2 linked regions of the Zea mays genome follow. The main gene of each other region encodes a partner of the protein of the gene in region 2 in a complex. Links are inferred from orthologs where the notes say so. Each region holds a gene or a part of one and is shown on either strand. Other genes may lie near its edges. The genes, in order: Dolichol-phosphate mannose synthase subunit 3-like and Dolichol-phosphate mannosyltransferase subunit 1-like.

Region 1 (6,401 bases), about 11 Mb from region 2:
ATGCCTTCGGGAATTAGATTATATGTCAGCCCAGTAATTAAAACGTTACTAAAAGCGTGTTCAACAATTTTAGACAAGCAATCAGCTGTGAAGTTAAAAAAAATGGTGATAAGGGTCCACGGACCAATTTGGCCATTAAGCTTCACCAGTTACAATACCACCCTTTGACAGCTTTACTAATCCAGTTGCACCATTTTTCACTAAATTTTCTCATTATAAGAAAGTGAACAAAAACTTCCCAAAATGACTTTGCCATATGCCTTGTCAAAGTCGTTTTCAAAAACCAAACAACATTATTTTCACCTTTTTGTTTCATGGAGGATTTCTTGGAAGGCCATAATTCCGCTCATAAGGGCAGATTGAGCTTTTTTTTAATAAATTTCAGTAAAATGTTCTAACCCAAGAATCAGAACTAGTAATTAGATGTGCCTGGATTTTTTTTAAAAAAAAATTCTATCAGCATCAACCACTTCAGAAAAGGGTGTGATGACTCTGCTTACATCTAATAAAACATTACAAACGTCTTGAAATAAATTTGTAGTTCCAGCAGGCCAGATAAAAGTCTATAGGAATGCTGACAGGCAGTAACATCTTTAATCTCATTTTCAGAAAAGAGGTTTGCAAAGGATATTGTCTTTTTCATCAATTTTTAGAACAGCTTCGCAGATGAGATCAATAGGAAAAATATTTCTAGGTGCTGGACCGAAGTTCTCATAATAATTAGTAGCAACTGGAAAAGTTTACTATCACCCTCTATGATGTTTTCACCACCATGAAGGTTGAGAATTGTATTGTTCCTTTTTATACTATTTGCAACTCCATGAAACTATTCTGTGTTACTGTCCCCTTTGAGAAACCATGTTGCATGGGATCTCTGTAGCCAATATAGTTTCCCATTTTTCCAGTATGTTCAACAGTCAGCTAGTTTAGCTGATTTATCATGGAATTGATCCTGTGATAGCAGACCTTCCTCTATAAGTTCCAAGACCATAAAATCTAAGTTTTGCTCTTTGTTTCCTAATTTCAACCTGCAAATTAAAACCCCTGCCCTTAGAACCTGCAAATTCATTCCTCTATAAGTTTCTTTTGGAATTTTGTCTGAAACTGATTTAGCGTAATATGGTTTTGTCCAAATATCTTCCACTAGGGGTAAAAAGCCAGCATGTTTGGGCAAGCTCAAAACAAAAAAGATGTCTACTGGCAGCTTGGTTGTGATTAAAATCAGGGAATTGTGGCCAGTATTAGAATCCCTGTATGGCACGGCGAGGCCTGCGGCCTTGCACCCGCTGTACTTGGCCAACTTAGCGACACCATATGCCCTAGGGTTGCTGTCCTATATATGTAACCCCTAGTTGATCAATACTATCATTGATTAATGATTGGATAGCCTTTCAGTCAAAATTTCCCTTGGCATTTTATAGCACAGCACTCTAGGATATAAATCTTACCGGCTCTTAGTCATCAGGCTTCGATCTAGCTTTTCAAGGGTATAAAACCTTTTATTAGTTGAGCAAGTATATTTACCACCTGACATTCTGATGTCAATGAGCTCATTGTTAGCAATTATGGCATTAAAAAGATCAGAATATCTGTTAACTGTAGTTTGTAACATGCCATATTGAATGAAAGAAACTTTGCAAGTACTGCAGAGAAATTCAAACACTGAATCCTCGAAGGGACTTGCGAGTACAAGTGATGTCATAACGCATAAGGTGACATACTGAACAGCAGAATTGGTAAATGGTCCACTGACGGGAAATCAAGATAGAAACCAAATATTCCTAGAACAGTTCAGTCTTTAAAACTTGAAAAACACCGGCAAGTCAATGTGAGCCCCATCATTGACAAAAGCAGAACTATAACATGCCAACTCACAAAAACCGTGTTAGTAATAGCTGAACATAGTGGAATTATATGTTTCCTATCTACAGTACCCAAAAAAGCAACCTATTCCAAGGAACAGAATGGTGATCCTTCAAAACAGACATGTATGTCAACCACTTAAAATTGATCTCACTCAGAGCCCACATCAACACCCCTCTTTCCTAAGAATTCCTTTGCCTCCACAATATCCTGCATAATACGCCAATCTTGGACAAATGAGAATAAACCAGGGTATGATCATACTCAAACAGCCCCCAAAAAAAAAGAATATCATTTGGCATTGATTTCTTTGTCATGATCTGTATGATCCATGAGATGTACTGCAAATACAGCTCAAGAAGTTTCGAGGGTTCTGCAGTTTAGCCTCACATTAAAATAGCTAACCTGTTGCAGTAGTACAGCTTCTCGAGGACAAGTTGGGAAGAACATAAGTCCAAATCCAACCATAAAAAGGCCATAGCATCCAAGAGCCACTACCAAGTAGATGGGAAGCTGAAACAGAAATAACCAATTCATAAACGAACTACTACTTCACACTATTTTTTAAGATATTTACTAGCAAAAATCAGTGACACTGACCAGCCAAGTATAACTTCGAGGAACAGTGGAGGTTTCAAGGAGAGCAATCCAGATAGCAGAGATTGCTACCAGTATTGCAGCAATCTTGAATATGTGCTTCATTTGGGGATGAGGTGTTTTACTGTCATAAAAAAGAAAAAAAATAACAAGATGAAAAGCAAAACATAGAGGCATTTGCAATTTTTCCACTCAAAACGCTGGGCATCGCTAATTTGCCATCGGATCCACAAATCATAGACAGACAGGTCCACAGATCATAGACACAGGTGGCATGGCATAATAGCAAGAGAGCAACACTCTAGGTGGCGAAATTGCAAATTTCTCCAAAACATAGATCCTAACATATAAGCCGTTATAAAGGTTGATTTTGGGCCATCTTCATGCTGCTGCTGGTGGGTTTGGTTGAACACAGGTACTCTAGATTGATTGCTGGGCAAACTGTATAGACCTTTGAGAATGAGCAGGGTTCAACAAGCGGCGGTAAGCGCACGCTGAAGCGCTAAGCGAACGGGTAACGTTTTGCTTTCGCTTTGGGGCATATGCGCTCCCAAAGCGGCGCGACCGCCTTGGTGGGGCAGCGGTTGCTGGCTCCCGCTGCCCTCAGGCCGCGCGCGGCGCAGCCGCCGGGGCTGGGCGCCGTTGACGATCCACCGGAGGCGGGAGGAGAGAGAGAGAGGCACGCACGAAGGGTAACCGGCGGTGTGCGGAGGACCGGAGGCGAGGGCGCGAGGCAACTGGCGAGAGGCGGGAGTGGAAGCTGCTGACGCCGTCGCTGAGAGCCCGAATCTGAGAGCCGCCACCGCCGCCGCCGCCGCCGCCTGCGTACCGAGAGCGAGTGAGGGAGGGAGCGCAAGATGGAGCGCCGGCGTTGCGAAGATGGGAGATGCAGAAACGGCGGCGGCAGTATGCCTTCGCTGGATCAGTGAAAAGGTTGAGACTTGAAAGTAAAGAAACGTGTGGGTCTTGTGGAACTTGGGTTTGTGCTGATTGATGGGCTTTTAGATGGGCCACTGAATAAAAGTCCATACTAATCATTTTCTTTTCTTTTTCTTCTTCTTTTTTCATTTATTTTCCTTTTTCCTTTTTCTTTCTATCATCTTTTGACATACCATCACATAATTCAATGTGTACCCGATGCTTTAAGTTATGTGTTGGGTGTGTATTGAATGTTAGTAACTTCCATTAGTAATTACATAGTCAAGATTCTTGTAAAATAATGATTAAGAAACATTTGTAGTTCTAAAAGCTCATTTGTAAATACAAACTCCAGCATGAGAAATAATGAAAACCAACCCTCAACTTTCCTAAAAAAGGGAGACAGGAGATGTGGGGAGGGGCCTAACCCTTGATTCATTTGAAGTCTTTAAAATAAACAAGAAAATAAATATTTCGACGATAAATTCTAAACCTTAGTGGGCGACCCACTTTCTCCACACCCGCGTCGAACCAGGTCCAAGGAGTAGCGAATCTGTTTTTTTTCCTTAGGATAGTGTTTGCACGTGTGGACTCTCAATCGCACTGACTAGCATGTGGGGCTCACTCATCGGAGTCGTCTCCTATCTAGAGTCCTTGGACTCAGTTGTCATGATTATTAAGATGTTTAATATAAAGAGAACTCCGAAGTATAAATATGGCAAATATATTATTAGAATAGGAGAGACAAGCCAGAGTCCTAAATAGATAGGACAAAATCTCAACATATAAGATAGAGTCCTAAGCGGATTGGGCAAGATCTTAACATATAAGGAAGGCACACTTGTAATTATAGAGAGTTGGATTTTTTGTACGACTAGGTTACCAGATTAGACCTATCATGTAACCTACCCGTGTTCACCCTTGTAACTGCTCCTCTCCTTGGATTATAAAAGGAGTGGCGGGGGAGCCCCCGATAGCGTAGACCATAACACAACAGATCAATAGCCACTAAAACACTAGCTGGACAACACTGGATGTAGGGTATTATCTTACGATGAGAGTTCGAACAAGTCTAAATATTATGTTATTGTGCACTTTACCTTCCAATCTTGTTATCGTGGCCTATTCCATAAAATCACTATCAAGAAATTCTCGGTAGAGCAATCGGAATACCAAGATTGTGAAGACTCTAGGTAGGAGGATCTTGCTTTAAAAGGCAAGTTATGTCCCTAATTACATTTTTTGATCTATATAATATTTACTATTATGTTATCACATATACATTGCATTGTTAGGTTAAATTGATGGGTGAAAGGGAAATAGGGTTAACCTTTTTCTACGATTAATTTTGGTGGTTGAATGTCCAACACAAATAATTAGACTAACTAGTTTGCTTTAGAATTCATGTATTACAGGTGCATAAGGTTCAACACAAACCAATAAATATTCAAGTTAGGGACCCAATTCAAAAGGAGCAAAAAGGACTTGAGTATGTTGTGGACTGGCGCACCGGACTGTCCGGTGTGCCACCGGACAGTGTCCGGTGCACCAGGTCCGTACAGGGTTCAACCAGCCACTCTCGGGAAAAACGCAGGCACGCTCCACTATAATTCACCGGACTGTCCGGTGAGCCAGCGGGGTAACGGCTACCTGCACGCAATGGTCGACTCTGACAGCGCTACAGTGTCGCGGCAAAAGTCAGAGCAGCGAGTCAGAGCGGCACCGGACCGTCCGGTGCACCACCAGACTATCCGGTGCCACAAGAAGACAACAACGCCAATGGTCGACTCCTCCAGAACCCTAACGGTAGGGTGACATGGCGGCGCACCGGACAGGGAACAGTGCCTGTCCGGTGGCGCACCGGACCCATCGACATCAGCCTCCCCAACGGCTACTTTGGTGGTTGAGGGCTATAAATACCTCCCAACCACCACAACTCCAAGCATCCAAGTTTTCTGAACATCACATTCAATACAAGAGCTCTAGCATTCACTCCAAGACACAATACAAAAGATCAAATCCTCTCCAAGTCCCAAATTCACTCCAAACACGTAGTGGTTTGTGAGAGAGATTTTTGTGTTCATTTGAGTTCTTGCCGCTTGGATTGCCTTTCTTCTTTTCCCATTCTTATTCTCAAGTGCTTTGTAAGCGAGGCAAGATACACCAAGTGTGTGGTGGTCCTTGCGGGGTCTTAGTGACCCGTGAGAATAAGGAAGAAAGCTCACTCGGTCTAAGTGACCGTTTGAGAGAGGGAAAGGGTTGGAATAGACCCGGTCTTTGTGACCTCCTCAACAAGGACTAGGTTCTTTGGAACTGAACCTCGGTAAAACAAATCATCGTGTTCACTCGCATTATTTCTTGGTTGATTTGTTTCCCTCTCTCCCGGACTTATTTTTAGTTCTAACGCTAACCCCCGGCTTAGTGTGTGTTTAAAGTTGTACATTTTAGATTACGCCTATTCACCCCCTCTAGGCGACTTTCAATGGGACCTATTAGGTGATGCCTAGTTTTGTTTCCCTTGTACCTTATTGACACCTGGTTTACTTATTATTGGGTAGACATGCTAGTGTTTTACTTGGTTTATGGGATAATGTTATATATGAAAGATGGATATTATTTTATTTGTGTGGATATTGTTTTATTGCTATTGTATGTTATTTACAAGATCACTATGTATAATTGAAACATGGAATGACAACCTCGAAAACAGTACAGCCATAAGGACTATTATGGCTCTGGACTTGGCTAATTAATTAGGGAAGCTAGTACGAGTTAGCCTTACTAAAAGTACAATAGGGGAGGTGTTTCTCAAGTATATATCAGTTCTCGGATTGATTTGATTTGTGGTAGCTTTTGGGTGGAGGGAGATCTATACTGTGGCAGAACCTCCCAAGTCATTAGGCCCACCTACAGTTGTCCTTGTCCAACGGACCTCAGACAACCATGTAGGTGCCCCTGATCACTTGACAAGTTCGGTATCTGTATTCCTTACCTTTCCCAAGAGCGTTTCACCCGTCACGCAG
Region 2 (6,678 bases):
ATTTAATGCAAAGGTGGCCTGACACCTTTATCCTGACGCGCGCCCCCCCAGCCGGCAGAGCCGAAGTGACCGCCGTCACTTCGCCGCTCCACTGACCGGCCTGACAGAAGGACAGCGCTGCCTGCGCCACTCCGACTGCGGTGCCACTTGACAGAGTGAGACTGACATGCAGTCAGGCCCTGCCGAAGGCACCATAGGAAGCTCCGCTTCGCCCGACCCAGGGCTCGGACTCGGGCTAAGTCCCGGAAGACGGCGAACTCCGCTCCGCCCGACCCAGGGCTCGGACTCGGGCAAAGTCCCGGAAGACGGCGAACTCCGCTCCGCCCGACCCAGGGCTCGGACTCGGGCAAAGTCCCGGAAGACGGCGAACTCCGCTCCGCCCGACCCAGGGCTCGGACTCGGGCTAAGTCCCGGAAGACGACGAACTCCGCTCCGCCCGACCCAGGGCTCGGACTTGGGCTCAGCCCCAGAAGACGACGAACTCCGCTCCGCCCGACCCTAGGGCTCGGACTCCGCCCCAGCCGACGGCCTCCGCCTCGCCCGACCCAGGGGCTCGGACTCGACCTCGGCCATGGAAGACAGACTCGACCTCGGCTTCGGAGGAGCTTCCACATCGCCCAACCTAGGGCGCAGGCCAGCCACGTCAACAGGAGGCGCCATCATCACCCTACCCCGAGCTGACTCGGGCCGCAGGGAACAAGACCGGCGTCCCATCTGGCTCGCTCCGCCAGATAGGCAATGATGGCGCCCCGCATACTCTGTGACGACGGCGGCTCTCAGCCCCCTTACGGAAGCAAGAGGACGTCAGCAAGGACTCAACCGCTCCGACAGCTGTCCCTCCACCAGGCTCCATTGCTCCTCCGACGGCCACGACATCACACCAGCTGGGTGCCAAAATCTCTCCGGCTGCCACAACGGCATGTACTTAGGGCGCTAGCTCTCCTCCGCTAGACACGTAGCACTCTGCTACACCCCCCATTGTACACCTGGATCCTCTCCTTACGCCTATAAAAGGAAGGACCAGGGCCCTCTTAGAGAGGGTTGGCCGCGCGGGGACGAGGACGAGACAGGCGCTCGCTTGAAGCCGCTCGCTCCCTCTCCCGCGTGGACGCTTGTAACCCCCTACTGCAAGCGCACCCGACCTGGGCGCGGGACGAACACGAAGGCCGCGGGATTCCCACCTCTCTCACGCCGGTCTCCGGCCGCCTCGCTTTCCCCCCTTCGCGCTCGCCCTCGTGCTCGACCCATCTGGGCTGGGGCACGCGGCGACATTCACTCGTCGGCTCAGGGACCCCCCGGTCTCGAAACGCCGACAAGTATATATTAATGAAAGAAGAAGCATACGAAACATGAGAGACAACATGAATAATTATACAACATCTTTAATATATCTTTGTTATACCACCATAAGTGAATACGAACAATATTGAATTACATTTATACCTTTGGTTTGACAGAAGGCGAAAGTCCAAGCGTGACGCAGGAATGAATACAAGTCAGTGTCCACAGTACGGGGTACTGTTCATCTATTTATAAGCACATGACGCAGCCTGGTCGGAATTACATTCATGTCCTCGATAAATAACTAAAAACATGACACAAACTGTCATGGACTGATTGGTCTTTTCCATTTTAAGTCGGTGCAACTCTTCGTCTTGAAATATGCCACTATGCCGAAGCTCCTTGATAGTAGCTTCGGCTTACATCTTCGTGCTGTGTTTTTACTTAAGGGACCTTCGGCGACGAAGCAGGCCCCAACAATAATCATGAGCATATTTTAGAATGGGACATCTATTCTACATGTAATGGTAGTAGGTTAACAGATAATTTTATAAATAACTCTTTCCACCATGTTAGTTAAATGAAAAGAGTTCTTCATAAAATTGGTTCTCTAACTATCTCTACTATTTATTTATTTTTTATTTTAATTTTCGCTCTGTAAACAATACAATGTGCGGTGTACACGACCGTAGATACGAGATGGATATGGATGTCATTTATGTCATCGATCATGGATGTCATTATGTCATTTGTATCCCTTTGAATCAGTTCCACGGTTCCTCCTCCTCCCTCTATTTCCCTGTCCAGACTGGTGGCCACAGCAGGGCACGCCGGCGACGCGCACCCGCCGGCAACCAGGTTTCCCGGCGCCGCCCCTTGTCTAGTTCTCAGCTTCTCCTCGCGGCGCCCCTTACTGGCTTCCTCTTCTTCCCAGACGGTGGCGCGTCAAGACTCCCCACCCGGCTGTCCGGCGAGGACCTCGGCTCCTCGCCCCTCCGCCGCTAAAGAGCCGCCATCCAGCCGCCCAGCCCCAGGCCCCACCGCCCCAGCTCCACCTCGGTCCCCTCGCCTCACCTCGACCCGGATTCCGCCCCTCGCCTCACCTCGACCTACATCTGCCTCGTCCCCATGGAGGCGGCGGCGAGCCGCAAGCGCGCGTACAGCATCATCGTGCCTACCTACAACGAACGCCTCAACGTCGCCCTCATCGTCTACCTCATCTTCAAGCACCTCCCGTAAGCACCTCCCACCGCCCAGATCCCTCTCTCCCGTTTGGCGCTGATCTGTCTCTCGCCGTTGCACCTTTTGCTGCCACGGTTGGGTCGAGATCGTCTTCGTGGTGAACGTTGTCGGATTCGATTTCGTTAGATCAGATGCCATTCGGTTGCGTGCGTCAACTGGATCGATTAGATTAATAACCTACTTAACAAGAATCAATCTGATCTGAATGTGTGAATGGAACTGACGATATCTGTTTAGGTGTTACCTTGCTTTGAGATCCAACTGCAGGCACCTGTCAATTATAAAGTAGAATCACTTGTTACTCAATTATTCGTCTAAATAGATGACACAGATTATTTATGTTCTCTCTTTGCTTCAATTCGAACTCTTTTATGTGGACATTAACCAGCCCTCCCTTGAGCTCTGCTTGCACATCTTACAGTATATAGTTGCAGAGTTCTAATGATGCCAGTACCGTTGAAGTGATCACTGTCCACTGTTTTTTTTTCTGAGAACAGGGAACGAAACAATTTTCTAGTGCTATTTTGGCAACATTGGAGCTAGAATTTGCTTCTTGTTTGTCGAAACCTTGAACTGTCAGTGGCAATCAGTTTCCTTCTTTTTTGTGTGTGTATTTGGACCTACAGGTCAGGTCATAGATACCCTTCATTCTAGTGCTTCCCTGCTGGGCGTGCCTAATTCACTCTATCAGACAAACAAAAACTTGCAAATTTTTTGTGAGTTCATCGGCTATGTCAAATGGGTGATGAGAATCTCTCCTGCTTGGATATCAAATGTACTATTAGGTATTACAACTTGCAACTGTTGGCTTGTTGTGTGTCCCTTTTCTTAGAATGTCACCATGCGTTAGACTGCCACTATTTAACTTCCATTGTTTGCTGGAGGCTTGCTACTATGGTGGAAAGGAAATTATTACATTCATATAGATATGTTGCCAAGTTCTTACATATTGTATCACCTGAGTTGACATTTTTTACCTCAGGGATGTGAACTTTGAGATCATTATTGTGGATGATGGTAGTCCAGATGGAACTCAGGACATTGTAAAACAGCTGCAGCAAGTATATGGTGAAGATTTTGTTGTAAGTAGCTTAAAAAAATATGTTCCTGGTCCACTTGAAGTTTTTGTACATATGATGTCAGTCTGTTTATTCAGTACCATGGCTTAATGCATTGTCTTTAACCTGATATGATGCTAGTTACTGCGAGCTAGGCCAAGGAAGCTAGGGCTTGGTAAGTTTAGACACCTGACTTCAATTTTTAGTGAAATTATTTCCCCTACTTATGTTAAGTAGCATCTGGAACTATCCAGGTACCGCATATTTACATGGACTAAAGCATGCCTCAGGGGAATTTGTCATTATCATGGACGCGGACCTATCTCACCATGTATAAATATTTCTTTTTTGTTACTATTTTTTTTTCTGTTTGCTATTTACAATATTTTTCTTCCTAGCTTGCTAACTATTTTCCCACCTTGAACAGCCAAAATACTTGCCAAGCTTTATTAGGTAAGAATCATATCTCTGAAGATATAAGAGTTAGTTAGTTTATACTACATGTTATTTTACATATATTAGTCCGCATCCTCAAATCTATTTTTTAGCACATATAATTCTCAGTCTGATTGTTCTCAAAATATATTTAGCGAGAAGAAAGGTTAATACTGTTACAGTTGTTGAATCCATTAGCTGAAAAATACATTTCAAGTAAAGGTTATCAGTTAGTCCCTTTGGCCTCCTCATTGAGGGTACTGAAATGTACCCCCTCCCAAAATATAGGTCTTTCTAGCTCTCTTTTTTTTCGTCCACATTCGAATGGATGATAATGACTGTAGATATACATACAAACTACATTTATAGGTTGATTAATGAATTTTTGTTTAGTCTAAAACAAATTATATTTTGGGACGGATGGAGTAGTAATTTAAATAATTGTCTTTTTTAACCATGTTATTTTCCTTAACCAGGAAGCAAAAGGAAACTGGAGCTGACATTGTAACTGGCACACGTTATGTTAAGAATGGTGGTGTCCATGGTTGGAATCTCATGCGCAAGCTGACTAGCAGAGGTGCAAATGTTCTTGCACAAACGTTACTGCAGCCTGGAGCTTCAGATTTAACCGGATCATTTAGGTCTGCCTTTCTTTTATCTCGAACAGAATAAACACCCACCTTTCAGTCACCTCTTTTGATGAGCGTATCATAATAGGCTATATAAGCGAGATGTCCTGGAAGACTTAATCTCCTCATGTGTCAGCAAGGGCTACGTGTTCCAGATGGAGATGATTGTTAGGGCTACAAGGAAAGGTTATCACATTGAAGAGGTATGCACCGTGCTGTCTCATTTTTCATCGATCATCTCTTGACTCTGGTAAATGGATCGTTGATTGCTCCCTCTCCTCTCCAGGTTCCAATAACGTTTGTGGACAGAGTATTTGGAATTTCAAAACTTGGCGGGTCCGAGATAGTTGAATATTTGAAAGGCCTTGTTTATCTTCTGCTCACAACATGATTGAAGATATATAGTAGGCTTCTGGTTTGTGGGTACAACCGTGTTACATTACAGAGAATTTTACTGATGTGTTATTAATGCAGCTTGAATTGTAACAGTACCACCATTACGCATGTTTCCAGTGGATGGATTATTGTACTCAATTCTTGGTTTTCTCTGTACACTTTATCAGTCTCTACGGGACGGTTCTTTGCCACTTTAGGGCTTGTTCGGTTACACCAATCCAGAAGGGGATTGGAGGAGATTAAATCCCCTCCAAGTCAAAAATGACTAGGAGAGGATTTAAACCCTTCCAATCCTCTTCTGGATTGGTGTAGCCGAACATGCCCTTAGCATGAATGAGCCACCCACCTACTTTAGTTGGATCACCCACATGCTCTTTAGGTGATCATTAAACTTTCGATTGCCACCAAACCGTCTAGATCATGTCTGTCATTGTGCAACTACACCAAAGTATGTAGAGTACTGAAATGGAGAGTATTGGAGAGAGTTGTGTGTGTGTGTGTGGGGGCGGGGGGGGGGGGGGGGGTAGGTTGACGATGTGTTGAATGTAGGCATGGCCAGGAATCAACATGCAAACAATTTTGTGTCCTCTTGTATATGGTGATTGATAGACACAAAGGAGAACAAGATTACAAGTTACAATATAAATCGAGCAGCATGACTTGCTAGCTCTCCCTTCCCTCTTAGCCTACCCTTGGGAGTTCTATTCTAGTTTCTCCCTCTTGACCAAGCATGGACGCTCTACTTTGTCTTTAGTTTGGGTTACCATAGATTGTCTGAACCTTCAATTGTGTGCATATTAGCCTAATTCAAATGAATCATGTTCTCAGTTCTACTCCCTTTTAGACCATGTCTAGTAGTTCATCCATATGATCACCCAAAACACTGTTTTGTATTGTATACTGTACTATTCACAGAGTGGAGTTGGAATATAGGTATGAAGATGGGTAAGCTGATGGAGATGACCTTATAGCCCATGGGAGGAGAGAATTACAATAAGAAGAGTTGGGGCCCCTACCTGGTTGTCAAGGATTTTTTGGCAATGAATTTATGGGGTAGGTCACGAGACCGAAAGCTAAAGATAAATGCACAAGAGACACAGAGATTTAGAGAGAATCAGACTTTTGATGTGAGATAATACCTTACATCCTATATATGCTGGCTATTGCTTATGATCTTGATGTAATGCCATGCCCTTAGGGGGCTCCTCGGTCCTCCTTTATAGTTCAAGGAGGGTATAGTTACATGGCAGATATAAATAGGTTACATAGTCCATGACAGTTCCAAACTGGTAACCAAGTCGTATGACAATCTAAATCTACGATTATAAACGTGTCTCCCTTATCCACTAGAATTTTGCCCTAACTGTTTAGGATCTTTGCCTTATCTCCTTTATTTCAATAATATATCTATCATATTTGTACTTCTATAATCCTCCTCATGACATGCATTCCTTTGATCACGACAACCGAGTCCATGGACTCTAGGCCAAGCCCATGGGCCTATACCGCCTATTCATATATGCCCATCTTGTGAATACCCCTGTTATATATTCTTTATAGTAGCCCATGAGTCCAACATATTAGAGTTATCAACTCGGGTAGGTTGGACTCCATTAATTTCCTTCGTGCTGAGAGTG

What was found.
Region 1: Dolichol-phosphate mannosyltransferase subunit 1-like (region 2) and Dolichol-phosphate mannose synthase subunit 3-like share a complex: the UniProt entries of both Arabidopsis thaliana proteins name them as parts of the dolichol-phosphate mannose (DPM) synthase complex. The link is inferred for Zea mays from reciprocal best matches to the Arabidopsis thaliana genes DPMS1 and DPMS3.

Annotation. Positions count from the first base shown.
Region 1 is NC_050096.1:289,684,388-289,690,788, reverse strand, and holds Dolichol-phosphate mannose synthase subunit 3-like, read right to left. Parts: upstream 3,315-6,401; 5' UTR 2,638-3,314; coding exon 2,464-2,637; intron 2,377-2,463; coding exon 2,269-2,376; intron 2,074-2,268; coding exon 2,014-2,073; 3' UTR 1,751-2,013; downstream 1-1,750. UniProt on the Arabidopsis thaliana protein: Regulates the biosynthesis of dolichol phosphate-mannose. Regulatory subunit of the dolichol-phosphate mannose (DPM) synthase complex; essential for the ER localization and stable expression of DPMS1.
Region 2 is NC_050096.1:301,158,050-301,164,727, forward strand, and holds Dolichol-phosphate mannosyltransferase subunit 1-like, read left to right. Parts: upstream 1-2,046; 5' UTR 2,047-2,409; coding exon 2,410-2,516; intron 2,517-3,505; coding exon 3,506-3,605; intron 3,606-3,722; coding exon 3,723-3,756; intron 3,757-3,835; coding exon 3,836-3,912; intron 3,913-4,008; coding exon 4,009-4,034; intron 4,035-4,492; coding exon 4,493-4,657; intron 4,658-4,733; coding exon 4,734-4,848; intron 4,849-4,931; coding exon 4,932-5,036; 3' UTR 5,037-5,177; downstream 5,178-6,678. UniProt on the Arabidopsis thaliana protein: Transfers mannose from GDP-mannose to dolichol monophosphate to form dolichol phosphate mannose (Dol-P-Man) which is the mannosyl donor in pathways leading to N-glycosylation, glycosyl phosphatidylinositol membrane anchoring, and O-mannosylation of proteins; catalytic subunit of the dolichol-phosphate mannose (DPM) synthase complex.